Caenorhabditis elegans: one gene and its partners. The protein of the gene in region 1 interacts with the protein of each later gene in a pairwise test. Each region holds a gene or a part of one and is shown in the gene's direction. Other genes may lie near its edges.

Region 1 (5,747 bases):
TATTTTGCAAAAATTGTTCAAAAAGTATCAAGTTTTCTCGTTCTTGGCATATTTCATGCAATTTGTAATTCTTTTTGTCTCAGTTATGTCATAACTTTTTCTAAAAATCCTAAGTTATTCTAGATTATTTGGGAGCAAACATTTTTAGAAATTCCCAAAGTAGATTAACAAAGAAAATTCAAATATAAATCTACTGGACATTCAAAGAAAAGCACTTAGACAATTTGAATCGAATTCCTCAAATTCTTGAACTATTTTTTAGAGGATTTCAATTGGACAGAAAGAATCTCAAGCACTTAACGTCGGCGGAAATAGTTTTTTTTTTTCAAAAAGAGACCACCGCCTTTGCTAGAAACGAAAATTGCATGCGTTCCATTAAATAATTCAATTCATCGTTATCACCATCCTTCGTCGTCGTCGTTATCGTCAGAAACAGATAGGGATGGGTCGATACAAAAAGAAAGTGGACAGTTCTTTTCTCTCACTCTTTTTCTCTTTTACAAATCACACTTGTTTCGTCTCACACACGCTCACTTCTTGTCTCTTCTCCCAACAGTCGTCGCAAAACCGTCAAAAGCGTAGCGGCTGTCGCGTCGCGGTCGTTCGTGTCTATGCATCACCGTTTCTAGTGCTCTCTAATTGTCCCGCCGTAGCAGTAGCAGCAGTAGCAGCGGCATGGTGGGGACCGCACTCCTTTATCTTTTACTCTTACTTTGTGTGTGTGTATGGGGGGTGCGAGAGAAAGAGATAAAAAAGAAAGAAAGAGAGAGTGTGTGGTTTCTGTGCTTCTGTGCACTCCAGAGCCTCGGATTTCTTTTCCTATGAACTTCATTTCTCGTCTCCATCATCAGAAGGAAGAAGAATTCTTCAGAATCTTGCACTTGAAGCGTTTTCTGCCTATTTATTTTCTCCTCCCGAGTTCATCTCTCTATTCGTCTTTAGCTTAATCCATTTTATTAGGCACGCACCCGCTCCTTGGTTCAACCAAATGAGAAGATAGAAAAGATGGAGCAACGCATCCCAAATTGTGTGATAGGATTAAAGTAGTGTGGAAGAAAAAAAAATGCAGAGTGAGAGAAGGGGCAGTCTTCTTTTCCGGTCTTACTAATCCTAACGTCTTCTTTTTCCTTCCTATCTCTCATCTCTCAACTTCTGAAATAGTTGAGATGAGTGATTTCGTAAGTTCATTATTCTTTTTTGTCAGTTTTTGCTTATAGTTCCTACGGGAATCATTGTTTCTTAAACATGCTACTTCTTTAAACAATTTATATTTAACAAAGTAAAATTGAACGTTTTTTTAAAAACTTTCTAACTGAATTTCGTAAATTTATTTGTTTCCTTGTGAAAAATGCTTGTCAGGAAAACTTTACTTCTCTACGTCTCAATCTCTGCAATCTTTTAACGAGAGATCGGAGAATTTTGTATTGGAAAAGTGAAAAAGAAAAATGAAAGAGACCCACTCGACACTGAGGGCGACCGAAAAGAAACCGACGAAAAAAAACGACGATTCGAGCCATTTGTCAGCGACAATAAGTGGTCGGGTCGCACCACTGTCCGCCGTCTCACCGATTTTAACATTATATTGTCCCCCTTTTTCTTCATCGCTTTGAAATCAATTTTTGATGAAGTGAAGACCTTTTTTCTCCTGGTTTTTTTTTTAATAATTGCATTACCCCATTTTTTAAAGTTCAAAATTACTCAAACTATTTGAATTCTTCTTTTTTTCAAATTGTAATGACTCATTCTCCGTCGTCTTCAAATAGTTACTCATTCCGACTCACCACCTAGTTTATTAACAGGAAAGTTCATTCTTTTTCTATCTTCTCAATTATTCTCAAGTAGTCATCATCGGTTTTTTATTTCTTTCCTGGTAGTTACTCTCCTTTATCGAAACTTTTTTTTGAAAAAAAAAAGAAACGGAATTCTGAGTATGCCGATAGGCAGAGCTGCTCTTTGGCAGTGCTCCCACAGAAATCCTTCTCCACTTCGTTTTCTCATTTCCATCTCTATTTTACATTTTTCCATATTCAACTATGCGTCTTTTTTCAGAAAAGGGTAATGACGGAGTACAAGCTTGTGGTAGTTGGAGATGGAGGAGTTGGTAAATCAGCACTCACCATTCAACTCATCCAGAATCACTTTGTCGAAGAATACGACCCGACCATAGAGGACAGCTACAGAAAGCAGGTGAGAAATCATTGGGAACATCCGCTACACACATGTGGTGGGAGCAAATTGAACGAAAATGATGGCATTTGAAATTGAACAAAAAAACGATGAGTCAGAAGTTTGGAAGTTTTTTGAAACACATCGAGCTGTTTAATTGATTCCAAAGACGAATAAATCGTGCTGAAACACGAAAAATTCCGAAATTTTCGAAAAAAAACCAATTTTTCGTGTTTTGGACACGACATTATAAAATGGCTGGAACTGAAAAAAATGGCTCGAATCATGATTTTTCATTGTCCCCCGAAAATTCTCACAAAAAAAAATTGGAAAACCGAAAATTTTAGTTTTTGCAAAAACCGGAAAAATTCTGAAAACACTCCAAAATCGATATTTCTCAGACGAATTTCAATAATTACATTCCGTTTTACGTTTTATACAAAAAACAGAAATTTCACTTTTTTTTTGAGAAAGGGCCCAAAACTTTTTTTTAGATTTTTTGTTTTTTTAAAGCAAATCGATAAACCAGCATGCCTGCTCGTGTCGTGTGAGGAGTATAAATTTTTTTAAACGTATATTCATCTTTAAACTCTGAAATTCAGAATATTATTGAGCCCTAATTTTCAGTGTTTTCATTTGAGTTTTTAACCAGTAAAAATAGTTTTTCAGTTTTAAAAATTGCTCCGAGAGCTAGTTTTTAAATATTCTAATTTCAGGTTGTGATAGACGGTGAGACATGCCTCCTCGACATATTGGATACCGCCGGACAAGAAGAATATTCGGCGATGCGTGATCAGTACATGAGGACAGGCGAAGGATTTCTGTTGGTTTTCGCCGTCAACGAGGCTAAATCTTTCGAGAATGTCGCTAACTACCGCGAGCAGATTCGGAGGGTAAAGGATTCAGATGATGTGAGTTTTTTTTGTTGAAATTATCAGTCAATGGTTGAATATTTGTATTTCTTCTAGGTTCCTATGGTCTTGGTAGGGAATAAATGTGATTTGTCATCTCGATCAGTCGACTTCCGAACAGTCAGTGAGACAGCAAAGGGTTACGGTATTCCGAATGTCGACACATCTGCCAAAACGCGTATGGGAGTTGATGAAGCATTTTACACACTTGTTAGAGAAATTCGCAAGGTAATTTTTTAGTTAAAAATTTAAATTAAAAATAATGTTTTTAATGTACAATTAAGGTACAAATTCAGTCATTATTATATGAAAATTGAAAGACGCGAGATTTTGATATTTTCGCGCCAAAAATACGACACCCGGTCTGTTCGATTTGCTCCTTCAAATATTATGGTAACTTTATACTGTCGTTACAGCGGAATTTTCATCAATTTTTTTAAGTTTTCGATATTATAAAAATATTTAAAAACACAGCAGTTTTAATAAATCGGTGAAAATTACCCCAGAAACGAAATATTAAAGTTACTGTATTCTTTAAAGGCGCACATACGTTTGCATTTAACACAAATTCATCGTGTCGAGACCGGGCACCGCATCTTTAATTTGAAAATCGCCAAATGTTGCATTTGAGTAATACAAAAACGTTGTTTTTAAAAATTTTCTGTTTTGTAAAGCTCTAAAATGTTATTATTGTTATCAACAGTTTCAAGTTTCCATTTTTCACTAAAAACGAAAAATGTAAGTTTTTCCGATATTTCGAAACAAAAGCTCAAAGTTTTGGTCATTTTCTTAATTTTTAAAGAAAATTATATGTTTTCTTTTGTTTTTTTTCTCACCAGCATGCACAAAATCTGATAAAAAATTGAGTTTTATTGTTAATTTTCTAAAAAAAATTTTGATGACACCCTAGATTGATATCCGAAAGATTTAATAATGTTTTCTTTTTATTTCAGCATCGTGAGCGTCACGACAATAATAAGCCACAAAAGAAGAAGAAGTGTCAAATAATGTGATTCAGCGTCGGGAATTGCCCAATTTCGCCAACTCATTTTCAGTCGTGTCAACTCCCACCCAATTATCCTTTCTCGTACTTTTTTGGTACATTTTCATTATTCATTTATCTGTTTTATCTGAAACTTGTGATCGATCCTCTTCCGCCTCTACATACTCTTCGAATTTCCACCTTTTTTTCTCTATGCATCGATTGAACTTGTTCTCTCGTCTGCTCGTCATTATTTTTTCTCCTTTTTTTTCTTCATCCTTCATTCTAATTCCTCATCTTTCGCTTAGCCCAAATCTCCATTCATTCATAGGTGTCAAAACTAGCTGTAGTGTGTGATCCATATCTAAAACATGCATCCGAACCCCCTCCTCGTTCCAAAATTGGCCAACTCTACCAAAAAAAACATCGCACCATTTTTTTTTCACTTTCTCTGCATATTTTCAGAATGTTTGTATTGCTTTTTTGATGCTTTATTCCCCTTCCTCGTTTTCATACAAATTATTGGCCTCATCTATTTTCAGAAGTTCTCTGAAAATTAAATTCTTTTGCATCTGCCGGTCGTTCCGTTTATTTTTTCTCTGTTTCCTCTCATTTTTGTCAAGTAATTATTTCTCTTTCATTAACTATAATATAGATACAATTAGACCCCATTTCTCATACATTTTCTGAACATCTGAAAGTTTTTGCTCCCTCGTATTGCATTCATTTTTCTCTATTCCTCTACATTTTATAGTCCTATCTGAATATAATATTCCTATTCTTTTGATCAAGTTTTTATTATTATTTTATTTTCAAGGAAGTATTGCAATGATATAAATTTTAAAAAGCTAATATTATTTTTTTAAATCTATTCAACTATATTTTGTTAATTTCAGTGTTATATTTTGACCTCGCCATCGGAGCATGATTTTAAAAAAAACTAAATTTAATTTATTAGAATGACGAGAAAAAGGAAAAATGTAGAGTCTGATGAGAATCCTCCAGCGAAAAACTCATTTGAAGGATACGGATATGCTGCTGCTGATGCTGAGAAGAAGCCACAGGAGGAGAGAAACAATTTCAGAACTTTTCTAGCCAAAAATGAACGATTTGGAAGTGGAAATCGAGGTGGAGGAGGTCGTGGAAGAGGAGGAGATGGTGGATTTAGAAGAAATGATAGAGGTGGACGTGGTGGTGGTGGAAGAGGATTCGGTGGTAACAGAGAATTCAGTGCCGGAGATTTTGAGAAGGTTTGTGTCAGATGGTGTCGTGAGTGATGTAGCGTCTCTGGCTTTTTAAACTCAAAATTACAGAAAAAGTTTCGATATGTCGAGTTAAAAACATTTCTAAAATTTGTATTATTTTGCAAAAAATAAAAAAAAGCCGAATTATTTTTGAATTTTTTAGTCATTTTCCTGGACAAAAATTGTTCAAAATGTGGAATTATAGGTTTTAGACCAATTTCATTTTATCGAATTTCGTTCGGATTTTCGAGGTTTCTTTCCGAAAAACTGTCTGAAAAAATGAGCGCGGGAATTCACAAATATTTCAGTATTTTTTTGAAATTGAATTTTAAAAAATTTATATTCGATATATTGAGACTTTTTTCTGTGAAGAATCGATAAAATGAACTCCAAAGCGCTCCCTAGGCAATTACCACAAAAACGTATATATTTATTTAATTTACA
Region 2 (5,277 bases), on another chromosome or scaffold:
GTTTTTTTCTTCCACTAATTCTGTTGCCTTGTCAGTTTCATTCTGTCTCATTATCTCTATCACCACTCCTTCACATTATCATTGTCGCTAATCTCGGTTTCTTGTCGCTAGACTAATTTCCGGGACCCAAAAAACATTGCTAGCAGCTTGATTATCGTTTTCTTATATAAAATTTTGATCTTCCAATAATTGCGACTTTTCAAGAGATAATTTTTTTTCAAAATCCAGGAAGGCACAATTCGAACGGCCGTGTTCGAAGTAGTATCTAGCGGGACGGTGACCTTGCGAATGAATTTCCTACATTGCATCAACCTCATTCCACTGTCTTTTCCTTTTTCAATCAATCTTCTCCCAATTTTTTTTCTGCTACTACATTCTCTCTATCCATTTTCAACTAATTTTACATATATTGTTTTCTCCAACCGTCTAACAAAATCAAAGGTTTTTCTAGCCGTCTCGTCGGTACTTTTTGGGATGTATTCAACCTGTTTTTACTTTTAAACAGCTTTCATTTTCCTCGTTGTGGGAAAATTGACGCCATGGGAAATAATGACGTTCAGTTGATTTTTGTTATATTTTCTGGATTATATGTTTTCAAATCAAATAACTGTAGTGATTTGTTTAAAAAAATTTTAAACTTTTCATTAAACTGTTAGATTCCAAGAAGTAAAGAAGTATTGTTATTTTTCTTCCCATCTCTTATTGTATCTTTCGTTTTTTTTCTTCATTATTCTTTTCGTCACCATTTTTTTGCCCCCGTTTTCCAGTCTCTTTTCCGAAAAACTACCACACCCTTAATATTTCTCCGTTTTCTGTGAAACTCTGCAGTATTAGTTTCCGAGTTTTTTTTTGTGTCGTTCCAGAATCCGCATCTCTTTTCCAATCTCATTTCGGATGATGTTTCATTTTTTTCCGTTTGGTCGGCACCGTTACCTCTCATTTCCATATTCGTTTACCTTTGTCATCACATTCCATTTATCATTTCTTCGTTTCCCTTTTGTGTCTTTTGGAAAAGCCAAAACTGTTCGAGAATCTGTACTTTTGAGAACGACATAAACGCTTTTGAACTGAGAAAATTCTTGAATTTTGTGAAGAGACTTCATTTATTTTTTTATTTCCTTTGCTCACAAGCAGTGACATAATTTTTTTTATTTCAAAGAAAATTTTTTTCTTAAGCATATGATTTCAGAAACCTATACAAGTATAGTTTGCTCAGTTAAGAAAGTCTCAGAAATTGGCAATGTGTTGTAAAAGTGGCTTTTGGTTTTGATTCACAAAATAAATCTTGTCACTGTAAGGGAAGATTTCCTTCCGCATCCATTCACAGTGTACACAGATAATGCCGTCAGATATAAACGCTTGGCAGAATATAGACGAGGCTTTTGTCATTCGATGTTCAGTTTAGCTTTGTTTTAGTCTTAGAAATTGGTTTAAGGTTTCGTTTTTTTAAATACTGAATTTTCTCTATTAATTTTGCCCCTTATTGTTCAACTTTTACAGCCAAAATCGCATTTTTTGTTATTCTAATACAAAAATTGTCATCCTGACGAAAAATACGTTTTTCCTATAGGGTAATTTCTCCAAGCGATTTTTTTTTGACTGTGGGTTTCACATTTCCTATTGAAAATTTTTTAAAAATAATTACAGATTTGTTAACTCAATTTCTTGCACATTGAATAGTTATTGTTTCCTTCCTTCTGTTTTTTAATTAATTCAAACTCGAAAAGCTTCCTATTTCAGTTTAAGTACTTAATTTCTGATTCCTGAATGTGTTTATCAAAACTTGCAGTTTGTTTATAACTTTTGCAAATTCTTTTTGAGTTTTCAATACCTTCCTTCAATTGCAACATTTTCTATATTTTCAGGGCATGACGGGTTGAATAGAATCAACAGGATCAGTGAGAGAAACCATCGTCAGAAGAACTCAGACCAATCTTAAATGGCTACGCGTTACTGGGGTGACGAAAAACACCCGGACGCAATATATGCTGTATATTTACGTAAGGTTCGATATGTGCCGCCACAAGGATACGAAGGTGTTCCGGTATGTACATTTCACTGCTGCTTTTCAGGAAGAAAAATACTACATACATATATACACACACACACAAAAAACATTTTTCTTGACGCTAGTAGGCTTGGCCCAATAAAATGAAATTGGAATGGAAGAACGTATATGCTTTGTGATCACAATCTTGCATTTCGAAGTAGTCCAGATGGTTGTAAGATACAGTTTCTCGACCCATTTCACGGGGGGTGAATTGTTCTTTTTCCCATTCATACCTTTTCCGTCTTCCGACCACATCACCTTATTTCCTGTCCCCCACAGATTGTCTTATCGCATATTGTTTTTGCAAACCTAAACATTGCCGCAGATATGAGACTCAGGAAAACCAGCGTTTTTACGGTAACTTTTTAGAATCTTTTTAGGTATTTCTAAAATATTTTCAAAAGTGCTATGCATTGGGTGATTACAAAATTGGTCATTTGGTAAAACTTTTCTTTCTGTGATTTTGCATTGATCCAAAATTTGTTAATCCTCCTTTTCCCCTTTTTCCTATAGATGAAGCTGAGTGCCACTTATTTTTTTCCGTTCTTCGCGAATTCTTCTCACATTTCTGGAACTCTGGAACATTCTACGTATTATTCACAATTCTCAAAATCACATGAAAACTCAGAAAAAGTTTTGAAACATGGCAAAAGCTTGTGAATCCTGTGGCCATAGAAAATAAAACATTTGCCACATATAACATAGTGACGAATATTTGACACGCGACCACTGAGCTCCAGTTTCGTTGCTAGAATTACGAAAGGATGAACGTTTGGAGCAGTCTTAGGCTTCATTCCTATAGTCTTGATTTTGAAGACAGATGCTCAAAATTTGCTCATTATATTAGCTCGGTAAGCATTTTTTCGAGGAATTGGATATGAAAAAATTGTTTTTCTGAATTTGTTTAAAGTTCCCAGTGATAATTTGCGATTTTTGATAATATTAAAACTCTGGAAATAGAGCTTTCAAGTAAGTTTAAAGCAAAAAAATTGTTTTTTTTCAAGTTTAACCTAGTTCTAGGAATACCCAATTTTTATATTTTAAGTCATACGAATATATTGTATTTTGATTTAGTTTTGCATTTAAAAAAATACTAAGGCATTTGCATTTAATCTTGGACAAATTAACTAGTTTTTGGATTTTAAAAAAATTTTGAATAAAGGGTAGAATAATACATGCTTTTGAATTTTCAAATTTGCCTAATAAAAACGGCGCAGATTTTACATAACAACTAGTTTATTGAAAACTATTTGTTAGCTTTTTTAGCTTTTTTTTTTTAATTGCTAAATAAGTTACTAATTCAGTAAGATCAACTTTACTTATTATATATCCCTACAATATAGATATTTGTTCAATTGTAGCATCTTATTTATCAGTACTTGATGTCAGAGCAAGTTGGTCTTATCGCGGTTTTTTTTCGACCAACTATATGACTCATTGCGCAATCAGTAACTTTTGGGTGTCCACCGGAAAGCGCCTTTCCCAAACAATGCTCTTATTGTTCCAAAAAAAAATTATCAACATATGTGTTGCTTTCTCCTAATTCATTTTTTAAATCAGATAATACACTCCGCCGGAGCGCGTTATCTGTCCTTCCAACACCAAAAAATGTGTCTATCCTCATTACGTCTTGTTTTTGCTTTGGCAAAGCCTCGTTTTCTCTCTCTCTTTCGCTCTTATTTCAGTCGGTCTCTCTCTCTTTTCCGCTTGAATACGATCCGTCTTATCACTTTCTATTTGCCATTTTGATATCGAATGAGAAGGAGGCAGAAGAAGGAGCGAAGGAAGGCAAGAAATCGAGAGATTGTAACGTTTGTAGCAGATGTTAGACGTTGGAAAAAAGGTGGCTGGGTAACGCGTACTTCTAACTATTTTCGCCCCCACTCACAACCGAGGTCTTCCTCTCCATTTCCAATTCTGGGCCCCCCGTGTCCTCCGTCAACTGTCGGGCAGCCGCCGCCGCCGCCGCCAACAGTAAATCTCATCGGTTTCAATTCGGAAAAGGAATTGGCGGAGAAGAAGGCGAAGTGAAACGAAGCGACATCTAGAACTCCCCATACCTCACTCCCTCACAATAACCTCTTCGGAATCGAGGGCGACCGTCATAAAGCCATCTTTTCTATCCGAACACTTAGAGTAACAAACAAATACCATGACGACACGTACTTTTGCCCGCTTTTTGTCATCTGCCGGTTATTCACCGTCTGCCAAGATGCGCTCGTCATCTATTCAACAACTCTATATTATCATGACGGTAAGTACGTTATTCTTCTTCTTATTCTTATTCTTCCCATTTTTTCTTCCTACTTTTCAATTGTTTTTTATATTAGCTTTCTTCCGTTGCATATCTCTTTACTTTTCCCGTCAGCTAGAATATTTTTCACCAAGCACATCAACACATCTGTTTACGTTTCACATCTGTGATTTTGAATTCATTCTTGGTGCCAGATATTCCGTACCAGGTGGGTGATTTTGTCACGCTTTTTCACAATTCTACTCGTTCGGTTGTACAGAAGGAGGTTTATGAACAGCTGGATTACTGGTTTTACTGCTTGTTGACCTAGATTAAAGGTGCACTTTTACCATTTCAACCACCCATATATGTTGGACAGCTTTTATTCATCATGTGGGCTTTTACAATTTCTAGAGCACTTTGTATATGTTTTGATTCTTGCTCCACTTTTCATCATTATCTGTCCTGTTCCTCTTCCTCGTTTCTCTTCTTGTCATTTAGTTCAACTCAATCATCTGTCACTATCGATATAAATTACACGAGAGAGGCAGTTCTCCTCGCTAATGCTAATTCTAATTTTCATTTTCGTATTTCCCGCTACTACTACCACCACCACCACAAAGTCTCCTCGCCAAAACCAATGAAACGTTTCTTTGTGACACACACAAAAAAAAATAATGTTCGTGCGTCAGTGAGATTTGGTGTTCCGACGACGACAGGTTTGTTGAAAACTTTGCACGCACATACATACACACCATTAGACTGTTCCATGATCTGATCTTGTCAGCCGTTCGGATAATGTTCTTGAGACATCATGCATAACTGTTTCCAGAAATGTATGTAATCGTTTTGTATGATGACTGACTGAATGACTAAATGAAGGCAGTAAAAATGGAGATGGCTAGGAAGACATCAATTTATCAAATACTAATTTAGATTCTCAGAAAGCATATATATTGCAAACATTTGTTCCATCAATCAAGATTCTCCAGTG
Region 3 (5,048 bases), on another chromosome or scaffold:
TATCAAAAAACTTTTAACTATTAAAATATAGCAAATTTCAAGGTCGATACTTTGCCAGTTGTAAATTTTTGAGTAGCTTTTTTGATTTTTGAGGAATGCAAGTTTTTCTTTGACCTCTCGCCAACAATAGCAAAAGTAATGACGCAAATTGTTAGCTATGCAGGTGCCCTCTATTGTTCCGTTACACGTGTTTCTTGAAAAATCCAAAGAAGTAAGAGTAACTTTACTTCTTCTTCTTCATCCTGTCCTTTCCTCCATTCTTCCAATGCATCTTTTGTGCTCCGTTGGGTTTGGCTCCGCGAGCCGGGGAGACAGAGAGGGTTAGAAGCGGCGAGAGAGTGTGTGGTGAGGCGAGAGACGCAGAGGATTTCTTCTGAATAGCTCACACTGCTGCCGTCTTCGTTTTCTTTGGACGCCTCCCGAGTTTGGGATGTCTGATTAACTAAGTGAGGGAGGGAGAGAGTGAGAGAGACGCAGACAGTGGAAGACAGGTCCTTTTTTGTTTTGAGCTGTTTTTTTCTACTTTGTTTGATGGAACACATTCCTTATTTGACATTCTGGAATTTTTTGTTGAAAAAATTTGGTTTTTTAATTTTTATTCTGAAATATTCTAAAAAATTTGTAATCTAATTTTCATAAATATTTTCGGTCTAAATTTTTTTTTGAATTTTCACGATTTTTCGTCAATTTATTGCTTCTAACTCTATTAAATTTATACATTTTATAAATTTTGTTTTAAAAAATAATTTTTAAAATAATAAATTCAGAGAGAAAATATTTCAGAAAAAACTTTATTCAGATTTATTCCTGTTTTCTATTGTTGTTTTATTAATAAAGGTAACTATTGTGAATATTATAAATTGAAAAAAATTAATAATTTAATTTTTTTAAATTCCAAAATAAAAAGTCGAAAACAATTTTTTTTTTCAAAATTAAATACTTTCATTCAGGATTTTTTCCAATTTTTATGGTGATAATTTGAGCGTTAATTTTAAATTAGAGAACTTATTAACCTTAAAATTATCACAAAATTTACAAATTCCAAAAAAATTCCAATTTTTTTGGAATTTTGCAAAAAAAAGAATCCAAAAATTTTTTTTGGAATTTTCAAAAAAAAAAATCCAAAATTTTTTACCATTCTTAAAAAATGTTGTTCTATTGATTTATGCAAAATTAAACATATAAGTGTATAAATTGAAAAAAATGTATAAAAAAATTAAAAAAATATAATCCAAAGTTCTTTGTAAAGTCAAAAAAAAATCCAAAAAAAAATCCAAAAAAAAATTTTTTTTCAGAAAATCTCTATTCTATTTTTTTTATTTAGTTGTTCTAATTTAATTCCGTAGTTTTTATATCAATTGTTTAATTATTTTGCAGCTTAAAACCCGGAAAATTTCAGATTTTTTCCTGTGATTTCTATAATTTTTTGTTTGTTTTTATGATTTTTTTTCTGTAAACCCTAAAACTTTTCCGCATTTAAAAAATTTTGGTAGATATACCTAAAAATTCAAATTTACTAAGATTTTTAAAAATTTTAAGGTTTTGAAAATTTGAAAAAAAACATTTTTTTTTAAAAACATTTTTACAAACTTTTTTTTGCAATTTTTTTATCAGAAATTTTTTTGCATCCATAATTTTTTCCTAACCTTCTTTCTATTCCTTTTTTTTTTTTAATTCCACTCCACTTTTCTACAATTCCCCCAATTTCAGCCAAAATATGGGTGACCTGGAGACCACTTCATCATCGGATGGCTCCAGTGCTCAAATACTCCGGCATGGTTCAAATGATACACAGGAAGAGAGGGTTACCTTTTCGACTACTCTAGATGACGGTGAGCTTATTTTTTTGTGGCGGTAAATTTGAAAATTTGAGAACAATCGGAGAAAAATGGGGCATTTTAAGCCAAATATGAAAATTTTGGGGTCTCACCGCGAAAATCTCTGGGTTACTGTACCAGAACAATACTTTTAAAGTTTATTATTTTCTTTTGTTAAATTGCAACTTCTGCTACATTTTGAACAAAAAACCATCAAAAAGTAATAAAAATTGACAAAGTTAGCGGTTTTCGAAAAAGTCGAAAATTTCGAAATTTTTTTTTTTGGAAAACTTAAAATTTTCATAAAACTAATGTTCAAATTCACTTCCGACCGATTTTATGAATTTGATCTTTTTGAAACCGTCAAAATGACCCCCATCATGACTAGGCTCCGCCTATTTTGGGTCTCACAGCGAAATTGGGGTACTGTAGTTTTCGTTGTGGGACCCAAAGTGGGCGGAACCTAGGCATGATGGGGGTCATTTTGAAGATCTTCTAATAGTCTAACTTTAAAATTCGAGTTCCTTACATTAGGACCTTTCAAATGGCCCCCATCATGCCTAGGTTCCGCACACTTTGGGTCCCACCACGAAAACTACGGTACCTTTGAGTTTTCGCGCCGGGGCCCAAAAAGGGGCGGATCCTAGGCATGATGGGGGTCATTTTGAAGATCTTGGAACGAAAAATTTGAAAATTTAAGTTTCAACTCAATTATTTCGAGTTTGCAACAACAACAAAAAATGAAATTTCTAAATTTCGAAGAAAAAAAATTTTTTCTTTTTAATTCAAAATTGTTTTTTTTCAAAAATTTTCCAATTTTCCCCATATCAAAATGTATCAGTTTTTGCAGTGTTTTGGTACATCTGAACCCTTATCAAAACTGTTATCAAATCTCATCATTGATGATATTCTATAGATCATCAATATCAAGTTCAGTGACCGATTTCCAATTTTTCCTTTTTTCCTCTCTAAATTCTTATTATAATTATTATTAAGTTCACAATATTTTTGTGTAACATCACTATATTTTTTGTTTTTCCGGTACAAGACCATCGGTAGACATAATCTGTGGAAATCCCCAAACTATACGAAATGTTGTTTATTTTTATACTAACACCAGGTTTCAATTCAGATTAAATATATTTGACAACTTTTACAGTTGAAAAATGTTCAAATTTTCACCAGTTTGAACCAGCTCACACTTTTTTAAAATCAAATTTTGTACTTTTCTAGCCATTCTTGAAGAAAAACTGATTTTCTCAAGACCCAAATGATCTAGCAAAATTGTTTTGGCTGTCAAAATATAGCCCATAAAATTTCCTATATTTTGTTAGTCAAAAACTTTTCATTAGCGCTTTCCCCCGCGGAGATATACGCGTTTGAAAATCAGACGATGAGAGAGTGTGAGGGGAGGCGAGACGCCGTGTGTGCGCGCGCCGCCTGCGTCTCTCCCCCTCCCACACTCTTTTCCCCTCTAAACTTCAAACGCTTGTATCTCTGCGGAGGAACGTACTATTAAAAAATTTCCAACTACCAAAATATAGGAAATTTTAAGGACTATATATTGAAGCAAACAATTTTTTAGAATTTAAATTTTTTTTCCAAAATTTTCTAAAAATTTGAATTTTTATAATTTTTGAACACCAGAATCTGCAAAGCTTGATCCATAAACTTTATAAACTACTTTTCTAATAAAAAATTCTGAAAAAAAACGGCGCCCGAGGCGCCGTATTCCCATTTTCTGCACTCACATTACTTCGTTTTTTTTTTTGCTCGTGTGATCTTTATTTCCACACATTCCCATCTTTTTGCTCTCACTTTCATTTTCGTGAGCTTAAGCTTTCTGGAAGCTTTAACTGCTCTTTTTTGTAGGTTTAGGAGTGAAAAATAAATACATGAAAATAAAACTCGAAAAAATGTTTTCTTTTGAAAATATTTCAAATTTCAAGTTTTGTGAGTTCTAAGTAAACCTGGACAATATATTTTTTATAAAAAAAATTGGCAAAATTCTTTTTTTTTGCAAGAAAATTAGACCATTCTAACCCAAATTTCAAAATTCCTGGGTCTCGCCGCGAAAACTTCCGGGTTACTGCACCCAAATTAAATTTTAGGACTTCTAATTTTTTTTGTTAATTTGGAAAAATTTCCCACATTTTGAGCCAATAATCGTCAAAAAATAATAAAAAGTGACAAATTTATCAATTTTCGAAAATATTCGAAAAACTAGGTTTTTTAAAAGAAAATTCAAAGTTTTCAGACAACGATTTTTGAAATTATGCTCCTACTTACTGTTCATTCCTAGTTTTGCCAAGACCTTAAAAATGACCCCCATCATGCCTAGGATCCGCCCCTTTTTGGGCCCCGGCGCGAAAACTCAAAGGTACCGTAGTTTTCGTGGTGGGACCCAAAGTGTGCGGAACCTAGGCATGATGGGGGCCATTTGAAAGGTCCTAATGTAAGGAACTCGAATTTTAAAGTTAGACTATTAACACTAAAAAAATCTGAAAAAATTTTTTGGGAAAATCTAAAAATTTCAAATTTTCCTCAAATTTTTCGTAACTTGGTTCATTTTCATCCGATTTTCTTCATTTTTCCACCAAAAATCATGATTTTAACTCTTTTTTAATAAATTTTCCAATCCTATGATATTTATTTTAGAAGACGCAATATCCGACCAAGTACAGTACCACTCGATGAACCCAAGCCTGGTTGAGGAGTGTGACCTGTGTGTTCTGGACAATGGACGCATTTTTTATATTCAGTGAGTTTTTTTTTCGGATTTTTTTGGTAAAATTGATCAAATTAGTGTTTTCTGGGATTTTATGACAACTTTTAAAAAAAGAAAATACTGTGGAAAAAAAATTTTGAAAAAACACTTTTTTCGATTTTTTCTAATTTCATTAAATTTTTAACGAATAAGTGTATATTCTTGCGCTTTATTTGTGCAAAAAAACAAACAATTGGAAATTTGGAATTCTGAGAAAAAACGGGTACATCTCCTGAATTATTCAAGCGAAATGTAGAAAGATGTGCGTCAATTGGAGAATTTTTTATTTGAAATTAAATACGGGAATGTTTTATAAATAATAGTTGAAAAAGTATAAAAGGGGTTCGTAAATTTAATATACGAAAAATTGAAAATTGGGGAAAAAAATTTGGAAAATTCGTTTTTGGAAAACTTTCAAAAAACAATTTTTTTCAAATTTTGTCAAAAGTTAGATTTTTAGGTAA

What was found. The genes of interacting proteins can lie anywhere in the genome.
Region 2: the proteins of let-60 (region 1) and rgl-1 interact in a two-hybrid assay, tested with the Caenorhabditis elegans proteins (3 studies listed by BioGRID).
Region 3: the proteins of let-60 (region 1) and frm-8 interact in a two-hybrid assay, tested with the Caenorhabditis elegans proteins (3 studies listed by BioGRID).

The regions. Positions count from the first base shown.
Region 1 is NC_003282.8:11,687,389-11,693,135, reverse strand, and holds let-60 (Ras protein let-60), read left to right. Parts: upstream 1-2,047; 5' UTR 2,048-2,058; coding exon 2,059-2,187; intron 2,188-2,882; coding exon 2,883-3,077; intron 3,078-3,134; coding exon 3,135-3,305; intron 3,306-4,030; coding exon 4,031-4,090; 3' UTR 4,091-4,909; downstream 4,910-5,747. Other genes in the region: ZK792.5 (Nucleolar protein 9), read left to right, coding at 5,019-5,309. UniProt on the Caenorhabditis elegans protein: GTP-binding protein with GTPase activity. The level of let-60 controls the switch between vulval and hypodermal cell fates during C.elegans vulval induction. May stimulate the guanine nucleotide exchange factor (GEF) activity of rap-1.
Region 2 is NC_003284.9:3,216,956-3,222,232, reverse strand, and holds the start of rgl-1 (Ral guanine nucleotide dissociation stimulator-like 1), read left to right. Parts: upstream 1-1,939; coding exon 1,940-2,044; intron 2,045-5,277.
Region 3 is NC_003281.10:3,215,813-3,220,860, reverse strand, and holds the start of frm-8 (FERM and PDZ domain-containing protein 4), read left to right. Parts: upstream 1-1,710; 5' UTR 1,711-1,717; coding exon 1,718-1,832; intron 1,833-4,475; coding exon 4,476-4,578; intron 4,579-5,048.